Caenorhabditis elegans: one gene and its partners. The protein of the gene in region 2 interacts with the protein of the main gene of each other region in a pairwise test. Each region holds a gene or a part of one and is shown on either strand. Other genes may lie near its edges.

Region 1 (4,638 bases), on a different chromosome or scaffold from region 2:
TTCGCTCCTCCCTTTCCATCCATCACATATATCTTTTGAAGTCTCAGCTTCTTCTGAGCTCGAAGCTTCAAAGGCAATTAGCCGCACCTGTGGTGTCAAAATTGAAGAAACAACCAGGCATTCTCTAGGTCTAGAAGAATATAAATGTGATTGTAATCCATCTTTTCGTTCCTCTTTCTTCCTCTACTTCTCTCAATTCTTCTTCCCGCATTTTTTTGTGTGGAGGCCCCCGAGTCCTCCATCCATCAAAAGCTCACCAGTCATTTCGAGTCGAATAAAATGAGCATTTGGTGGTGGATGCAGAAGAGCCGTCTTCTTTCTCTCCTTGTGGTCGTGCGCACATAAGAAGACAAAAACCCATCGTTTTTAATCGAATACAAAAGACTCATTCTTGCACAACACTACACAAATTTATATTCATCTTCAGTATTAGAAAAGTCTTGTGGTATTGAATAAGCTCGACTTTCTGACTTTTCAATGTTTCCAAATACTTCAGCAAATTAATATCAACGAAATTTTCGCACGATTTGTAACCCCCTGGTTCAGGCGCTTTTAAATTTTTATTCATGTTCGGTATTAAACTTTGAGAGATTTGTGAGCCAGAGAGCCGCCTACCACCAATTTTTATGGCGTTTCTTTTTTCCGGGGTCTAGGCTCTGGGATCCATAACGTGCCAGAGTGCACTCTGTTTTTTAATCAGAAAATAAGTTCCGCCGTTTTCAAACGAATAAAAAAGTGAGAGGAAAAGTTTTGACACCCAATATGTTCTTCATTATCACTACTTATCAGTTGGCATTCTCTTTTACAACACTCCTCTGCGCCGATTAGACTGGCTTATTTATTACCCTTGGAAGATGGGGATGCACAATTTGCAACTTATAGATAGAAAGTTTTTGAATTTTTCACTTGGCTTTTAAAAATAAACAAGTTTGAGCTATTTTTTAATATTTGAAATTCGACTAGTTTTTCATTCAATTTCAATTTCAAAAATCATCACATCTGTATCACCCAGACGCGAAATTTTGAGATTTTTTAATCTAAAAAAACGGTTAACAGTCTCGACTTCAAACACTTTGCTGCGAAATTTTGATCGTAAAATTAAATGTAAAAAATCGATAAAATTCTGCAAAAACACACATTTGAAATTACAGTACTCATTAAAGGCACACACCTTTTCGCATATTACAATAAACTGTCGTGTCGAGACCAGGCAGCATATTTTTGTGCAAACTCCTTTGAAATTATTGTTATTACAGATTTTTTGAAATTAGTAATTTCGGAAGTCTCCAAATTCTTAAAATGTCCTTTCCTTCCTTCGTCTCCTTCTCACTTTCCCGGCGGTAATTGGTTTTGGCGTAGAACATGGCGCCGGCGCAAACACATTGACGCAAAAGTTCACAATTTAAAAGACCGTGTAAACAAGACCTCCTCCCCCTGTCCGCTCGTCTTCTCAAAGAACTTTTTTATCTTTTCCGTTGTTTTATCGCTTTTCTCATAATAAAAATAAAAATCGTCGTTGAAGAAATAAAATGGGCCCCGCCGTTGGTGTGTGTGTGCCATCACAACCATCAATTCAAACTTTGTTTTATTTCTACTTTTTTGCAGCTCATTGCTCCGTGACGGATTCAAATTGTTGTTTTTCTTCGCGACAAACAAGAAAGACTCTGGAATTGTATCGTTTTCGAATTTTTAAAATTTGGAATTTTTGATCGCCTGTCGATCAACCCCCGTCTACAATCACGTCGGACCAACGAAGATTCGCGAATCCGAACTTCTCGCATCCTAGCTCGAGTAGTTCAAGGGAAAAGTAGGTTTTTATTATATTTTAAAAGTAAAAGATTTGTTGACAAATAGTTGAAAATGGTATTCTAAAAGTTGAGAAAATTAAAAATATGAAAGGTTCACTAGAGGCATATTTTTCATTTTGAAAGTATCAAAATAAATTCAAAAACAGCGTTTAATTTCTTTTAGAAAACTAGAAATTCGAAAACTAGAAATTGGTGAATATGAACAGTATTTAATTTATATTTTAGTAGGAAACGAAGTGGATCAGCCAGCGGAATGTCACTAGCAGATCATATTGATGCAATCAAAAAAGAAATGACAAGTCTATCGAGCCAATTCAACTCGAATAAATCAGAACTTGAACGATCAAAACAGGATTTATCATCAATGCAACTACAAATGCAACAACAAATGAACGATTCAGTACAGCAGGACCTCCAGAAAGCTCATGATACATCGAAGAAATTAGATAATCTTGCAAGGACGTTTCTTGCATTAATTACTGATCCATCGCAACAATCACAATTATTAGCGGAATTTGAATCAATTTCCAAGAACGGAACACCTCAAATGCCAGTGATGACACCTCCAATGATGAATGCAGTTGCTGCAATGCAACCACATATGATGATGAGGAATCCAATGCTGAATGCAATGGGTGGAGCATCACCACGTGTTTCTGGAAAAGGTGGAGCTCCACAAAACGGTGGAATGAATGGGATGTCGATGATGCAGCACATGCAAATGCAAGCATTCCAGGCACAAATGATGCAAGCTCAAATGTTTCAGCAGATGCCGATGATGATGCCAGGGATGGTTCCTGGAATGCCACCGGGAATGGCTGGATTGCCTGGAATGATGCCACCGAATAATATGGCAGCTGCAATGCAACATTTTAATGCGGTAAGTGTTAACTATTATTCAAAATGTTGAGATTAAATTATGTTTATCGTAATTTTCTCTTAGGGGCACGGATTTATCCAGATGGGGTCGGCGGGGAAAAATCTATGATAGTTTTTTTTTTGAATTTTTACGGCATCTTCCTTGCCTTTTTAGCGAATTTTTCTGCTAAAAAACGTCTATGTTTGAAGTATAAATTTCAACAAAAAAAACTACCATAAACGTTTTGCGCACCGATCCCATCATAAAATATCCGTGAGCCTTTAATTTGAAATCTAGTGAAATTACGACAGTAAAAGTGAAATTCAAGAAAATTAATGTAGAAATACAAAGGATGTTTTAAATGTACTTTTTAGAGCAGTTTGATATTACTAGAAAACTTACTATTACTAGAAAAGATAGAAGAAATTAATATTTTTTAGCTCCTTCAGAAGATATTCCAAAAACCTCGATATCTCAATTTTCTATCCATTTCTGTACAACATATTTTCATAATCTTCCAGTTTCAGCAAATGGCCGCCGCTGCATCGGTAGCAGTTTCTACACCATCAAGGAATCCATCAACATCTGGAGCCGCTTCTCGAACACGAACTCCATTAACCACATCAGCCACGAATTCACCTCGACCCACCACAGAACCAACGATTAAAGAAGAAGAACCACAGACAATGGAACATGATGTAGCTGCTGCTGTGGCCGCAACTACTGCTACTGCAACAATCAAACAAGAAGAAAATTCGACAGTGGCGGTTGCTTGATCCTGTACCGACATATTTTAGTATTATCGATTGTGATATCTATCGATATATAGTGTAATCTCTCATCCTCTCAAAATCCTCCTTTTTCGGTGGCGGCTGACCTCTGGATCCATTTTTTCTTTTTTGAAAAATATTGTTTTTATGTTTGGCCTTTTCGCATTCTAATACAGGTCCAACTTTCCGTTTTAAATATTCGTTGTTTCTTTTTTTTTCAATCGCCGTCCATTTTAAAATGAAATTCTCATAATGTTCTCTGCTGCGTCGGACTTTTTTGTCGATCTCTTTGTTATTCCAGCCCATCAGTTTCATCATTTTTATTCTTCAAAAATTTGAGAAATCTTTCAGTTTCTTGTTCCCCCCAATCCTCCCCATTCGCTTTTTTTTGCATCCCGCAGCGGGTATCTCGTTTTGATTAATAGAAGAGTAATTTCCCAATCACAAAACCATCACCAGGAATGTTTCAAATTTTCCAGTATTTATCTATCAATTCGTCACCTCACTTGTCTCGCATTTTCTCGTTGTTTCCGTGCTTCTTGTGAATATGATATTTGATACAAAATTCTCATTTCGGTTTTCTCCAGTGTTGCTCTTCTCAATTGTTCTTTATGAATCGCGTGATAACGCTCATAAAACAGATTTGGCTGTTTATTCACATTGAAAGCATAAAAACGAAAATCACAATATCCCGATAAACCGAGTTACTAAATAGAATACAATAATTTAGAAGACACATCTACATTAGGCTATTTGAAGGTATTCATGGAAGAGCAGCAGTCAGTTCTGGGACGGCCTTGAACAAATCGGCTTTCAATCCAATATCAGCGACCTGAATTATTTAGAATTAACAATTTTGTGTTAAATTCAATTTTTACCTGGAAAATTGGTGCATCAGGATCCTTGTTGATGGCGACAATCACCTTTGAGTCCTTCATTCCAGCCAAATGTTGAATGGCTCCAGAAATTCCGATTGCAATGTAGAGTTCCTATAAATTAATTCATTTTTCTTTGCTTCTCACTTAATGGATTTCTTACCGGCGCTACAATCTTTCCAGTCTGACCGACTTGCATGTCATTTGGTACGTATCCAGCATCAACAGCGGCACGGGATGCTCCGACTCCGGCTCCGAGCTTATCAGCAAGATCATAGATGAGCTTGAAATTGTCTCCACTCTTCAATCCACGTCCTCCAGAAACG
Region 2 (4,284 bases):
AAAATTCTTACAAATGATCTGTCATATTTGAAATCCTGTAAAACATCTCTGAAGCTATTAAATTTTTGCAATTTAAGCTATTAAAATGTTGACCCAAAACTCCCTCCAAAGTTCCCAAAAACTATAACATGTCAAGTACATAAAATGTCCTTCCCTATCCATAACCTAATGATCACCTGTCAATTCTAGTTACCTAACAACATAAAACGCGTACCGCTCTTTCTCCTCCACCCAACAGTGCGCCAGACGGATCCCTTTACAACTCTCTGGTTGGTGATGATGTAATTTGGAGCCGCCGGCTCACCGCAATACTGTCGGAGCACAAAATTCAGGAAAATGATCCTGATTGAGAACATGGTGCATGCATTAACAGATAATTTGTTTTTGAAGGGAAAATCAATAATTATCTGGAGATTAGATATCTTGTTTTTAGAGATAGTTGTAAACAATGGCAAATTGTAAAACCACTTTAGATGAACCTGGAACTTTCGGGAAATCTGGCAACCGAGCTACAAACTACAAACTACAGAAAATCAATCTACAAATGTTTTTTTCAGTCAAGAACCGAGATATCAGTTGCACATGGTGCATCGAACACTAACAAGATTAATCAAAATTTGTCACGTCCAGTATATCCGTAGTAAAAGTGAGAATTAACCTCAATGATTTATCATCCTGCCCGTGTCCTTCTTCCCGTTTATCAATATTACCGTAGTGGTGATGGTGGTGGGGGCATCGAATATCGTCGTAAAATCGTCGTTAAACAAATTTTATGAACTCTATATACAAATCAAGCGTGTTATTATTGTTTGGTAGAAAGATTGGAAAACGATAAAGAGAGGTGAACAGGTTTCCTAAAATATCCCCCCGGAGATTCATTTCTAGCAAGTATTTGGAGAAAGATGAAGAGGGACTGCACAATATTTAAATCGTTGAACCAATAAAATAATAATCACAAACTTGGAGCATTTGGAGCATTCGATGACGATTTTCTAGAAACTGGGGAAGTTATGAGGTTTTTGGATTACATTTTTGATTGGAGTATCATGAACATTTTTTAGAACTCCTTAATAATAATTCTTCAAACGACAAAGAAGTTTCAACCAAAAAATTTGTCAAAAAGTGTTTCTAACAGAAATGAAAGTATGTAGAGAGAAAGTTGGGATAAAGTAGGTTGAGAAGTATCCCACATATCTCAAAAAATATTTGGTTTATCAAAAAGTTGTCAACTGACAAATAGTCGAGCAAAATGTCAATTGAAAATTCCCTCGTATTATTGATTTTTGGGAAGTTACAGCTGTTCAAACTTTTAATTTTGTCTATTTTCACCTTTGAAACTTATTCCTTCACACAATTCCCCTTTTTAGCATCCCGCCAAACATCGAAAAACCACGCCTACCAGTGTTATCGCTACCGTACCCCGCGGTCCGCCTTCGGGAAGGCAGGAGTGGGGCCGTGGCATCCAGGTGAGACCCCAGGCTCACTCTCAGCCACCAATCTGTTTAGTATTCACTTTTACGCGAATTTTCCAATTTACCAATATTTCAGTTTTTGCCCGTTTTGATTGAATCCTTATTATAATATGAAATTCCAGAGAAAAACCATGACAGATCAAGTGTATGTGACACTTCGAGAAGATCAGGATAAGCTGTGGAACCTCTTCCATTATCATAAAAACGAGATGATTGTCACAAAATCCGGCAGGAAAATGTTCCCGAAGCTTGAGTATGTGGTCAGAGGTCTCACGCCGAACAAGCTCTACGCTATGATGCTTCATATTGAGCCATCCGACGATCATCGGTACAAGTTCAGCAGTGGAGAATGGGTCAAGTCGGGAAAAGCCGAAAAGCACAGGGAGCCAAAGAAGTTGTGGCATGCGGATGGAGTTAGAAGTGGAAAGTGAGTTTTTTTTTGGAATGCTTTGTTAGTTGATCTTTTATTAGATAGCGCAGTCAGGGTTGGAGTACCTATTTTTCAGCAGGGAATCAGAAAATAATTTCAATTTAGAACTGTAATATCTCAAAGGAAAATAAAAATACAATAGTTGCTTACTGATGAAATGTTTATTATAAAATTTTCTACAGTTTTCCAATTGACAACTTTTTTGTAATGACTGTTTCAAGCAAGTTATAACTACTTAAAAATGTAACACATCGCCAACTTGAGCATGTTAACTTCAAACTGTTATAAAACTACGGGCGGTTTAAATATCAAATATCAAATCCTTTTCAAATAAATTATCTGATTTTCTGTATATCTCCCTATAGTAACTTTTTTCCAGAGAATGGATGACCAACCCAGTTTGCTTCGATCGTGTAAAAATCACAAATTGCGCTGAATCTACAAATGCATCAATGGTAACAGCCATAATTCTTTTCTCCTTCAACCTCAGCATTTCCCAATTTCTTCCAGATTTTCCTTCACAGCATGCACAAATACACACCAGTAATGTCAATCTACGAGTCCCCATCGGAGAGCCCATTCAGCGTCCCACAACCATCGACCCGTCTTGTCACTTCTGTTCGACTCACTTATACCGAATTTATTGCAGTTACAGCGTACCAGGTAACACTTGTTTGGGATCTAGATAACTTTGCCTATTGAGCCCGCATTAACACTTGCATTAACACGTGTGGCTCTCTATGAGCCACATCTTCTGAAGGGTGCGAACACTAATTGTTTGAGGGGTATTGTTTTGGGTTTTCTGTGAAGTGAAAGGGTTTGACACAAAACAAATAGAAGAAAAGGATATTTAAATAATTGTTGCAATTTTTTATTAGAAATTAAAGTAAAATGGGTAAATATATTAATATAAATTTTTAGTCTCATTCTTGATTTATTAAGATTTCCTCAAAAACCGTAAGAGAGCTATCATGAAATTTTTGACCTATAAAATGATGTATACTTTTCAAATCTGAAATAACTTTTCTCTTAATTGAAAATATTGAAAAAACACTCAAAAATTGTCTGAAAGCTGAAAATAGCTTGAAAAAAGTTTTGATAGTTTGCCGGCAGTTTTTTACCGTTTTTCCGATTGTTGCAACTGTCTCAGGCGGTTTTAAAGACCAACAGCAAATAATTAACTGCATTATTTAATCTACAATTTTTTATTTTCTTGAAAACAGCGAGGCATCTCAGAAAGTTGTCTTTTTTCCATGGCTCAATCAAAATGTAACTCTTAAATTCAAAAACTTCCAGAACGACGCAGTAATCAAGCTGAAAATCAAGTTCAACCCATTTGCCAAAGGATTCCGAGAGGGAAGCCAATCAGACAGAAAACGAAATTCTCCATCCGCCGACGACTCTACAACAGATGAAAGCTCATCTCAAGTCTCTTCTCCTCAGCCAAAAAAGTCACGAACCGTGTCAGTATCACCTCCATTGATGCCACGGATCCTTCCAACAATGATTCCACCACCACCAGCCATCAATCCCCTTTTCTACAGTCTCCCCTACTTTTCCCATTTGGCAGCCACCGGGAACTTCCCGCCTGTACCATTCCAATTCCCATTTGGACTTCCATGCTTCTCCCCAATGTCATTTCCAACACCTCCGCCATCTTTGAAAAATGTCAAGAAAGAAGAGCAAGAGGATATTGAGCAGGAAATCAATGTAGTTTAATTGCAAAATTTAATTATTAATTTTAAATTGTTATACTTTAGTTCGGGTCACATGATCACTTTTTCTGTTAATTTTTTCTGCATAGAAGATTTTTTGTTTCTGAATTTGGACATAATCAAATAAATTTTATACGGTGTAATTATCTTCCAGACAAGTAGGCAGGCAGGCAAAAATGCTCTTCTGCGGGCATTCACAAAAAATAGGTCTTCTATTGCCCATGCCAATTTTTTGAAAAAATAACTTTAACTTTAAAAACCAGTTTTTTTGCGGCCTTTAAAATTGAGCAATTTTTCCTTTAAAAAATTTCCAAAAAACACCATGGCCGAATTTGTATTTTTCGCGGCCACGAGACTTCAATTTTTCATGGCAATGTTTTAAGAAACTTTTATGGTTTTTACAGTTTAAATTTTTTCCACCATAGAGCATAACTTGCCACGTGGCCGAAAAAAAACGGTGGCGGAGTTTCTTCAATTGGTTCTTTCTGCCACCAAGACTAAATGCGGGGCCGAGGTTTCACACGTTCTAGGCCACGCAATTTCTTTTTTGAACTGTTTTTCTTCTTTCCGTTCCTTCAATTTTCTCCGTTATGGCCTAGACTTTCTTGTGAAAAACTATAGTTCTTTCAATTTTGAAATTGCGAAAAATCGGCAAAGTCGACCTGCT
Region 3 (5,166 bases), on a different chromosome or scaffold from region 2:
TTAGATGTGAGCAACAGACACCAACATTTCACACCTTCTACAGTGTTGCACATTGGCTTGAGAACGTTGTGAGTCGTCGTATTAAATCCATTTTGTGATGTTTTACATAACAAAACCTCTAAGAGAATAATGGGAAATAATGTGGAAAATATCAATTCCATTTTCTCATTCTCATCCTCATCTTTCATTTCATTTCTGCTCATTTTCAGCTCATTTCTATGAACGCCACTACTATCAGCCATTACGTGTGTGCATGTTTTTCCTCGACCATATTATTCTGTACAAATACGTCGTCGCCTTATTTTACTATTACCGGTTTTAATGAGATTGTGTTGAATTATTTTCTCCCCCCTCCCTATTTGAAACCAAACGAGCGCGCACACAAACACATGAGAGCGGGCGGGTAAGCGTCTTGGGTCCCAATTACCGTATATCATGGAAGTGGGTGGAGCTGTGGACGTTCATTCAATACGGCTGTGCTCACCTCAACTCGTTTTATTTTGCGTTTGATCAAAACTAAAACTTGATTTTTTTTTCAAATGTTCGTCATTGGACTCTCAAGGGTTAATCAGGAAAAAAAACACATTTCGTGATTACTTGTTTGCTTCGAACTTTTTTTCAAGCTTCATAAGACTTCATGTGATAGTTTCCGATTCACTTCCATCGACTCTTGATTCATCTCTTTTCCCTCAGTTTTGCATGGGTTCTCTAAGGTATCAGAAATCTCGTCTAAAATTTTCATTTGTAAATTAAACCCCCATTCTGAAAATTAACAGTAATACGAGTGTTCTTTTTTCAGCCAAAAATGATTTTTTTGGAAAGTATGGAAAAAAGTAGTTTAAAAGATGTCATCACAATATTGGCAGTACTCTTTTCAACTTCCTGTACATCAAAATATCAAACCATTTACCGTATTTTCCCTATTAGGATTTCAACCCAGTTTCCATCTTTACCAGCTTAACACGAACAAAGTACTTGTCAATTTTTTTTAGCGGTTTGTAGTTTCTTATCTTTGATACTGAACACAGATATAACGTTTCAAATAGTGTGGTACAGTACTATTCAAGGAGTTACGGTATTCGAACACATTTCAAGTGAACAATGATCCTGAGTGTTTTGCTCATCGAGCCTATATTAGATATCTCTCCTGTTTCCATCATTCCTCATTATTACCTTTTGCACTCCGAATTCGACACTAACCGCGGATAAGCTGCTGCTTGACCCGTGCGTTCGCATAGCAACAACGATCCACTAACATCTCGAATTTCATATTTAAATTAATAATGTTTTGCTTAAAGCATAACTGATTAGCTTTTTGGCATTCTCGTTGGAATATACATTGAACCTACATTACAAAATCAATTGATCATCAATTTTGAAACAATTGATAGAGTCGCTCAGCGGAAAAAAAACGGTTAATTGTTGTGATTAATGGTGTTAACCAAACATAGTAATCCACTTAAACGAATTAGACATTAAGTTGGACAGGGCGTATTGCCTAGAAACATCTCTGTTTTGCTTGATCACTTAACACATTAGCGGAAAAGCAAGCAGGGAGTTCTTCGAGATCCTCAGATTCTGCTAAACTTCTCTCAACTGTATTCATAGTCGTTTTCCTATTGGTCAACCATTGTTTATATAGTTTTGATATCCGTTTTCTTAACACTACCAAAGACAATAATTTGACTTGGTCATCATTTCATTATTACTCCTCTCCTTCCCATTTCCTACACCCCATTTATCCGCGAACGCTCGCCCAGCTACCGTAGTCTTGAATGGTGGGGCGGGGCTACTCATTAGTATTCTCGATTAGCCCTCAGTTGACTCTATTTTTCTCAAACATGCCGACTTCAGTTATGAATCTCCCTATTGATATGACGACAATGAGCTCGCAAGAACGTCTCGAAAAAATGTCACAACTTCCAAAGATTGAACTGATGGAGGAAGAAGAGGAAGAAGAGATGAAGCCAAGTTCAGATAATAAGATTAAATTCAATATTTCTGAGTTGCTGGAAGATGACAGAAAACCGTAAGTTGAACATTTTCATTTATTTTCCTTTTATTTGTATAAAATTAAACTTTCAGAACTACACAAAGTTCCCCGTCGGCATCTTCAGAGGATAGCACCAATGAAATTGAGCAAACGGCGTTTAATTTCAATTTTGATCCAAAAATGAATCCGATTTCTGCCCTCCTGCAACTTCAGCAAACTTTCTTGAACGTCGGCAATCAACAAAACATGATCTCACCACTTACCATGTTCCCATTCTTTGGACTTCCGACTGCTCAACTAATGCACTTCAAAAACATGAGCAACCCAGGTCAGTAGATATTACCCAACTTCCTCTCTCCTTAGTCTGTCATTAGTTAATGTGTGAAAGAATCCTACCATATTTCATTTCATTCAAAACAGTGTTCCGTTTACCACTATAATTTTCGGTCGGTTCTCTTTATTCTCCGAATCTCAGAACACCCCTTAATACAGTAACTAATTCATTTTCTGACCCATTGTTATTGTATGGTCTCGAATTAGCCAAGTCTGGACTCATTAACAAGTTGAACAACGGTATTGGATGAACATATGGAAAAAGGAGGGGGGAGGTTGTCGGCGGATGCAGTTCCTTTCTTAGGATAAGAATCAGAATCGCTCGCCTGTGTTGAACTCAACTAATTATCTTTTGTTGGGTAACACCACACGCGGTATTCATTGATTCTTGAAAGGATGTGCTCAAACAGCAATAAGTTAATAACGTGAGAATACTAAACCCCATGAGCTCGGTGACGCGTGTCAGGTCCTTGACTTTTATTTTGATTCTAAAAATAAATACATTCAATTAAAAATTATAGAGAAACAACTTTTTTTTTCAGATTCAAAGTTTTTAATAATGAAATGTGGCCTGTAGGGAATTACCAAATGTCATACTAAAACATTTCAAAAATGTTTTAAATAAAATTTATTTTTAGTCAAAGAACATTGAAAACTCATAGTCCGCTTTTACCTAATTTTTGGCTCAAAATTTTTTTAAAAACAGTTTTATTTTGATATTAAGCCATTTTAACATTACAAAAATGCTGATTAATTATTTCCCCTCACAGGTCCAACTTTAAGCCATTAAGTTTTCCGCTCAGTTGATTTGGCAAAGCAAATCAGCGTATTGTAAAATAACATCATCACGCTGTTTTATTACGCTGACTCTGTTGATACATGTGGTTTTGCCACTGATTTGTTTTTGATAACATGTGAAATGATCAAAACAGCAATAGAAATCTCTTATTCTAATGAGCCTTTTCCATTTCGCATGAAAAATCAGGCATACGCATGAGCGCACATTTTTAGTCGTCAATATTCGTAACGTAAGCGGCTACACTTCGGTTTTTAAGAGATTCTAATTAGTCAACGAAGAATCAGTATTGAAAACTAAAGGTAGTTCTTAATATAGAGACATCTATTTATAAAGGTGTCATTTTGACCGACACCCGTGTCCTAGTAATCCCCCGTCCATTGAGATAATTAACCGATGGACCACGGGGGGATGTGTTATAATTGTGGCCTGTCAATGGAAGTATCTTAATGCAATATGGTTAATATGCCTGTCAGGAATTAAGTAATTGTTGAAAATGTGTTTCCTTACAGATGTTAATATTCAATCAGACAATGGAGAAGAGAAGGATGAAAAATCGGAGGGAAAAGATGGGGAGACCAGGGATTCCACTGGTGGCAGCCCGCTGGAGTCTGACGCAGAAGATGACGATGATAGTGAGTTGAATTTAAAAATGTGTCCACAAAAGTGTCCATAAACTGTATTTCAGTTGGCCGTGGAAGCGATGATGAAGCCAACTCTAGCGATCCATCACAAAATAGAAAGAAGAAAACCAGAACCGTCTTCAGCAGGAGTCAGGTATCAGAAATTGTACATTCCGAACTCAAATAATACTTTCATTCAGGTGTCCCAATTGGAAATGATGTTCGAATGCAAAAGATATTTGAGCAGTCAAGAGAGATCAAATTTAGCACAGAAGCTGCACTTGACGGAGACCCAAGTGAAAATTTGGTTCCAAAATCGACGAAACAAGTTCAAGAGACAAGCTCAGACTGATGACACGAACATTTCCCTGCAGATGCATAGAGCTAATGTGTTTTCGATTCCAGCAACCACAGCTCTTACATCTCCGTGAGTTTACTGTTTCATGAAATTAATTCTAAATTTTATATTTCAGAATCCTTACGATCCCAACGACCAGTGCTGGTGTGAACATGAGAAATATGATTTCATCTCCAATGGATGCTTCTGCAACTGCCGCCGCGCGGTTTCTTTTCGGTTTTGGTACACTTCAGGCACAGCAAAACTTGAATGCGTCGGCTCAAGCGCAGAACATGTGAACACCTTATTACTAATTTAGACTCACCCCCTGTGCAATTCAACTCAACCTCAACACATTTTTCATCTCATCACTGACTCTATCTCTTCACACTTGATTTTTGATTCATCGCCCTTCGTATATATTTTATTTTTCATACCCTATATGTTTATTATGTGTCATTCTGTGTATTTTATAAACTATCTTCGAGCACATGATAATTCAGTTCATCAATCCTTTCTCTTTCACTAAATAATTATTTATTGAGTAATAAATTTACATTATGAATACATACAATACAAAAATGATAGAAACTTTTTGATGTGTAAAAGACCATTTTCCAACAGATTATGATGGTAGCAAAGCTACTCTTTTCACATACATACATATACTAATATTTAAGATGAAATTTCAAAACAAATGTTCAAATTCCATCAACTGCAGAAATATCAGAAAACTTTTATTCTGCTTGAAGAACGAAAACTTACAAAATTTCCAAAAATTTGAATTGTATTACTTGGATATAAAATAATAGTTTGTCTCCTTTGTATGTAGTATCTGTTTTTTTAAAGAGTTTTTGTTGTGTTTTGAAAGGTTAATGGTTAAAATTAGTAGAATGAATTAGGGTAGTGTAGTGTAGGTGTTCAGTAGGCAACTTTGAAAAAAGTAAGTTGTTATGCTTTGAAATAATATTGGAGAGTCAAAAGTATTAGAAATCTCTGTCTTAAACAGTACAAAAACGCTCGAGAAATTTTTGAAGAACTGTTTTGAAGAACTCCAAAAAAAATTTCTAGAAATTTCAAAAAT
Region 4 (5,946 bases), on a different chromosome or scaffold from region 2:
CGATTTTAGTTCCAAAGGTACAGCACCTGCCCTCGACACGATATATTTCAGTTAATTGCGAAAAGGCGTGCGCCTTTAAAGAGTACTGCGGAATTTTAATTTCTAAATCTTTCGATAAAACTACACTTAAATAAAAACTTTGAAAAAATGTAAAAAAATATGGCAGCAACAAGCGTTTAAAGTTACAGTACTCTTAAAAGATGAATATGTATTTAATAAAAAATTATCGTTTCGAGATACCGTAATTTTGAATGAAAATCGAAAACTTGGGAAATTAAATCCGCTTCCAGAGTACAATGCCCCAATTCTGCTCTCAAAAATGTTTTTTTTTCAGTTCGGCTCAAATAATGTCTCTGGCATGGAATCCGTCAGGCCGAGGTCTTCTAGCTTGTGATCGTCAGAAGACTTGTACACTCTGGAGATGATCTTCAATGTATGAAATTGAATATAATTGTACAGAATCATCATCTGTGTTATAAATGTGCATATCCATTTTTAAAAAAATAGTTTTACCCGCGTTTTTCATGTTTTCTTTCAGATTTTTCATTATGAACATTCGTTTGAAATAGAAAAAAATTGTATGATATTTATACATTTTAATTTAAACCGGTAATCCTCAAAAAATGCCTGAATATTACAAATTCTGTGTTATCACCACCTATCCCTTGTATTCTATGAACATAAAATGCACATTTTCTTATCATTTCACCTGGTTGGCTGACTGACAGTCGTTTGGAAACATTCGAGTTTTCTTAAATTTTCTATAGTTTCTGATGCTAACCTATGAAAATCAGTTCAAAATGATGACAAGAATACAGGAAATTAATAATTTCTGTTCCCGCAGCATGATGATATTTTTTGCCGATGAATAGTCCTAATTCTTCGTCATTGAAAAAAATTTGCTCCTTTCGATCTGAATTTGAAAAAAGTTTATTAAAAAAAGTATATTTCAAATATTAATGATTTCTGATTATTCTGCATTGCCAGGAAAATATTTTCATATAAACTTGTGAAAAGATGTCAATTTCTGAAAACAATTCGGCCAGTTTTCTGAAGCAGTATTTTACATATCTTCCAGGGTTCAAAAGATTAGTACTCTCAATGAGTCGCAGACAGCTTAGTTGTTTTTTCTTTCGTATTAATATACTTACATTTTCTTTTATCTCTAATTCTCTTACATCCACCTTTTCCGCAATCTCTGCCACTGTCGGCGATCTCTTGTTCTCGCACGTTTCTCTCTAATTCTATAACGAACGTAAATCTTTATTCTCTCTATTATTTTTATATATATTTGTGTGAAATATTCAAAACTTGAGTATTTAAATTTTTTGAAAAACCATAAGTTCAATGTGATAATTTGAAATTTTCCCATCACGTTTTCGATTAGACAGAATGAAGTTTCCGTTCCAGTGACTATAAATAGGCGAAATTTAATTGAAAATAGTTTTGCATTATTTTCAAACCACAGACTTTTTATTCATACATATATTTGAAAATATTAATTCAGTGAATTGCAAATTTAAAACTCACATTTCTTTAAAATTAATGAATCAATTTTCTATCTCTTGCCGTAACAAATAAATAAATCCATATATTAATATCTTCTCCCCTTTGTCCAGCCAATTTCTCATCTCCTCCAATTAGCCTCTTCCCACCTTTCTCTCTTCTTCATTTTCCCCCAATTCTGTTCTTATCAGTACTAACCTTGTTCGGTCCTTTCTCTCTCTAACCTCTCTCTTCTCTTTTTCTTACTCTCTACCATTGCCGCACACCTCCATTCATTTTCACTTTAATCAAATATGTCTACGGACCTTCTCTATGAATATTTCTATCCACCTACCGATTTATTCAAAAATACTTTTGAAGACGTACCACCATCTCCTGAGTCTCTGGACGTTGGTGATTCGTTAGGATCATCTCCATCTTACGATCTTGGATTCCAACCATCATTCGATATTGACTTCTGCATTTGGAAAGAGGGATCTTCATCACCTCCACCGGAATCGAATCATCTCCCAGAGATTGTAAATAAAGCTTCAACATCTCCACGTGGAATGCCATCTCCATTAACTGACAGTCGAAGTTGTCATGTCTGTTCATCTCCCACTGCCAATACTCTACATTTTGGAGGTCGTTCTTGTAAGGTAAGCAATATGATCAAGAAAAAAATATTTCTCGTATCAATTATTAATTAGCACTACTCCGAAAAAATGAACATTTTTTGTTTTTACAAGTGTTGTACTTTCGTTGTTGTTGTACAATATACATTTTTTGTTTTCTGGATAACAATTGAATTTGCATCGGACATTATTACCCAGGCCCACGGTATCCTGCCTCAGCGCAACATATTTTTGTTAAATTCGAAACGTTGTGCGTCTTTGAAGAGTACTGTAATTTCAAACTTTTATCATATTTTTTATCATTCAAACTCGTAAAATCAACATTTCTAGACTTGAATTTTTGTTCTAAAAACACCGATAAACCGTTGGTTTCATTAGTGATAATTGTGAAAAAAGGTCCTAAAGTATTTTAAGGCGTAATAATATAACTATGCTTTGAAAATGTGCCAAAATTTGTAACATGCTCGCCACGTGTTTTTATTGTTATCCTGTGTTATCTAGAAGTGTATTGTAGTCAGGTATTTTCTTTTTCCGTCTGCGTATTTCGACGAAACATCACTTATTTTTGTGGCCATTTGTGGTATGTGTCTCACACTATTTGTTTTTGTAGTCTTAAGTGTAGCTAGAATGACAATAGAAGATCTTCATCTGATCGGATGTTTGAACACACCACAGTACAGTTCCTGTTTAGAAACTAGCTCCTTTTGACCAAGTTTTGTATGATAATCTTACTGAAAACCACGAACAAATAGAAAAAGTTGTTGATAACGTACATCACACTTTGCATGCTTTATGTTTAAATAAAGAGAAAATGAAAAGTACAATTTGCATCACTAATACCTCCGGAAACATGTTTCTCACAATTTAATTGGAATAAATTTAATAAATGAGCATATTTTCAGGCATGTGCAGCATTTTTCCGAAGAAGTGTTTCAATGTCAATGACTTACGAATGCATTGGCACTGGAGATGACACAAATCCGTGTAGAACCCATTACGAGCTCAGAATGATATGCCGTCACTGTCGGTTCATCAAATGTTTAGATGCCGGAATGCGCAGAGAACGTGAGTGATCATTGACAAGGTCATTTGTCACATGTTCAATTGGCCAAAAAGTCCGAGGTACAAAAAACAGTAATTTGTTGTTTTGCAGTGGTGCAAGCGAGAAAAGAAGAGACGAGAGTTGCAAAACGACGTTCCAAGGGATTGGTTGTATCGAAAAAGGAAGATGACGATGTTGAATCTTCGTATGATGAGTATGTAAATACATATACAAATGTTCAAGGTTAGTTTCTAATTTATTTCGAAAATATTTTTGAAGCCCTCGACTGGGAAATTTTTTAAACCCTCTCCTATGGTAATAAAATTCCTAAGTATAACAGTTTAACGTTTCAAAAAATTTTTTAAATTTTTTAGTTACCGTCAAAAGTGGGCAAAACTCAGTTTTCATCTATCACAGTTTTTGGAAGTTGACCAAAAAAAATATTTATCTACAAGTCCTTTTTTTTACAGCGTTTTAATTGTTTTAATTGGAAAAATTCCAGGGTTCCAACTTGTAACAATTTCTACAATTTTTTGAAAATTTGGCAATTCACCAAAACTGAGGTTTTTTAAACTCTTAATCTTTTTGGAAAGTTTTTATGAGATTCGGTTATGTTAGAGTATTATAAGTGTATCTATCCCGACTGACGATACTTTAATAATACCATTTGTTGTTTCAGATTCGAGCCCGAAAATGGAATCAGGGATTAATGAAATGACGATTCCTGAGTCATACCTTTCACCGGATCCTTCATCTTCTCAACCACTTGATATGACAGTAACACCTCCACCACTGCACCGTTCAACTCCATCCATACTTCTTACTCCAGCAACTGGTGACCGTATGCACTGTCAACGTGTGCTTTCCAATTCTCCTCCATTCGATATACACCAGGCAAGCACCAGCCATGCAGGATTTATTCAACATGTACAGTTCTACCCAGTCGTTGAAGTTGAAAATAAAATTTTCGAATTAGTTGATCATTATGTAAGAACAGAAGCTTCATTGAATGATCGAAGGAAAATAATGTACACGGATACTCAGATAAGAGATGTTTTCGATACAACTTGTGAATGTGTGAGTTTTCAATGCACCATATCCATTTCTCACAATATTCTCTTTCAGCCCTACGAAAATCATCAGCTGAAACCTTTCAACTATAAATCATTTTGCGGATTTGTAAAGCACGACTTTGTTATGATTCTTGATTACGTGAATCAATTTCCGGAGTTTCAAGCTTTACACAAAAATGACAAAAATGTGGTCTATCGAATGGCTTGCGCCGTAGATTCAATGCTTGCATCTGCCTATTATAGCTATAAGTGAGTATTTAATGTTCAAAAATTAGATTCAGTCAGTTTTTCTACAGAGTTGGAATAGAAAAAGAACGTCTAATACTTTTCAATGGTGACTATATCAATATGAATCCGATTCCAATAAGTGGAGATGAGCCAGGCGCGGGAACAGAGTTTCAAACCCCGCAAGAACATGAAAAGTACAAGTGAGTTTGCTAAACTTTTTTAAATCTCAGTAAATTGTTATCTTGCAGAACCCTAATGCCACTGAAGCTAAAACAATATTTCGATCTGGCAATTCCGTTCGCTCGACTAGAAGTCTCATTTGAAGAATACGTACTTCTGAAAGCTCTCATAATTTGGCAAATCAGTAAGTAAATAATATCTACAGTAAAGTTTTAAAATTCTCGTTTCAGGTAACTATCGGTTACTAGAGGAGGGACGAGCAATTTGTGCACGGCAACGAGACACAATAGTTCAAGCCTTGCATAAAGTAGTTGAAGAACGAGGTGATGAGGATCCAGCTATTCGAGTTGGTCAGCTTCTTCTGAGCATGAGCTATATAACGGTTGGTTCCATCATCAATTTGTTATGAAAAATTAAATGAGTTTCAGGAGCAAGTACAAGCAATGACAAACTCTTACCTTGTAATGACTTTCTTTGATGTTGTATCCTGTGATAGTATAATGTACGACTTACTATCTTTCAGGTAACAAAATTCTAATAATTTCAAAGTTTAAATGTTATCAAATTATTTCAGAGACGACTGAAACAACCATCGTGAAGGTTCTACTTCATTCATCTGACTTTTAACGACTATTAACTTACATAGCTTTATCGCGTAGCTTTTGTATTTAAAATTGTGACATTTTGTTTATATTCTGTGATTTTCTTTTTTTGCCATATTCGTTCAAACTCTCAATTCAGATCTTTCAAAACATGTGTAAAATTGAACTCATTTCAGTTGTATTGATATACATTTAATAATTAAAAAATTTATTCAACACTTGACACATGACTAGGGCTATAAGAAGTCACCGAATCATCCACATAAACCGGAAGAACGAAATATTGCCAATGCGATTGTGGAACCAAATATGGTTTGCTCCAAAGACGTTGCAAGTCACCCGTTGGTGGAGTCGAGTCAAGAGGAAACCTGAAATAGAATGGATTAGAGATTATTGAGAACTATGAATTCACCATTCAATAAGAATATTGTGATTCAACGTTGGAGATTCAGCTCTAGTACATTGCTCGACTTCTATCTGAAATTTCGACTGTTTTTGGTAGCTCTAGATGTAGTTTTCACCGAAATTTCTTTGCCGGGAGGAATCAAAAACTTCGATGGATACAACTTGTAGAAGCCAGTGGTTGACAACAGAGCTCTACAAAAAATGAACTGTATTTAAAATAACCAGAATAATTTTCGCTGCAGACCTCAACGCCAACCAATCATTGTTCCTATTGTTCTTCACATTCAATATAGACA

The links.
Region 1: the proteins of tbx-8 (region 2) and lsy-22 interact in a two-hybrid assay, tested with the Caenorhabditis elegans proteins (one large-scale study listed by BioGRID).
Region 3: the proteins of tbx-8 (region 2) and mls-2 interact in a two-hybrid assay, tested with the Caenorhabditis elegans proteins (one large-scale study listed by BioGRID).
Region 4: the proteins of tbx-8 (region 2) and nhr-22 interact in a two-hybrid assay, tested with the Caenorhabditis elegans proteins (one large-scale study listed by BioGRID).

Annotation. Positions count from the first base shown.
Region 1 is NC_003279.8:7,704,017-7,708,654, reverse strand, and holds lsy-22 (STI1 domain-containing protein), read left to right. Parts: upstream 1-1,605; 5' UTR 1,606-1,630; coding exon of another isoform or gene 1,631-1,693; 5' UTR 1,694-1,807; intron 1,808-2,033; 5' UTR 2,034-2,061; coding exon 2,062-2,688; intron 2,689-3,188; coding exon 3,189-3,443; 3' UTR 3,444-4,089; downstream 4,090-4,638. Other genes in the region: F27D4.12 (Photosystem II protein I), read left to right, coding at 1,631-1,693; etfa-1 (putative electron transfer flavoprotein subunit alpha, mitochondrial), read right to left, coding at 4,201-4,269, 4,316-4,426, 4,476-4,638.
Region 2 is NC_003281.10:10,345,981-10,350,264, forward strand, and holds tbx-8 (T-box transcription factor tbx-8), read left to right. Parts: upstream 1-1,594; 5' UTR 1,595-1,603; coding exon 1,604-1,899; intron 1,900-2,281; coding exon 2,282-2,357; intron 2,358-2,412; coding exon 2,413-2,565; intron 2,566-3,198; coding exon 3,199-3,621; 3' UTR 3,622-3,760; downstream 3,761-4,284. UniProt on the Caenorhabditis elegans protein: Transcription factor. Involved in the control of early morphogenesis of the intestine, hypodermis and body-wall muscle. Involved in regulating expression of vab-7. Appears to have partially redundant function to tbx-9.
Region 3 is NC_003284.9:4,758,288-4,763,453, reverse strand, and holds mls-2 (Homeobox protein mls-2), read left to right. Parts: upstream 1-1,813; 5' UTR 1,814-1,841; coding exon 1,842-2,029; intron 2,030-2,085; coding exon 2,086-2,321; intron 2,322-2,559; exon of another isoform or gene 2,560-2,758; intron 2,759-3,634; coding exon 3,635-3,757; intron 3,758-3,810; coding exon 3,811-3,899; intron 3,900-3,945; coding exon 3,946-4,172; intron 4,173-4,218; coding exon 4,219-4,381; 3' UTR 4,382-4,650; downstream 4,651-5,166. UniProt on the Caenorhabditis elegans protein: Transcription factor that binds to the promoter of target genes. Regulates fate specification and/or differentiation of multiple cell types arising from the embryonic mesodermal (M) lineage and the ABp(l/r)paa precursors.
Region 4 is NC_003280.10:6,445,642-6,451,587, reverse strand, and holds nhr-22 (Nuclear hormone receptor family member nhr-22), read left to right. Parts: upstream 1-1,795; 5' UTR 1,796-1,799; coding exon 1,800-2,144; intron 2,145-3,022; coding exon 3,023-3,185; intron 3,186-3,273; coding exon 3,274-3,405; intron 3,406-3,841; coding exon 3,842-4,239; intron 4,240-4,287; coding exon 4,288-4,484; intron 4,485-4,531; coding exon 4,532-4,663; intron 4,664-4,711; coding exon 4,712-4,827; intron 4,828-4,873; coding exon 4,874-5,025; intron 5,026-5,071; coding exon 5,072-5,166; intron 5,167-5,217; coding exon 5,218-5,227; 3' UTR 5,228-5,393; downstream 5,394-5,946. Other genes in the region: atg-16.2 (Autophagic-related protein 16.2), read left to right, coding at 335-425; K06A1.2 (uncharacterized protein), read right to left, coding at 5,454-5,613, 5,658-5,722, 5,767-5,842, 5,895-5,946. UniProt on the Caenorhabditis elegans protein: Orphan nuclear receptor.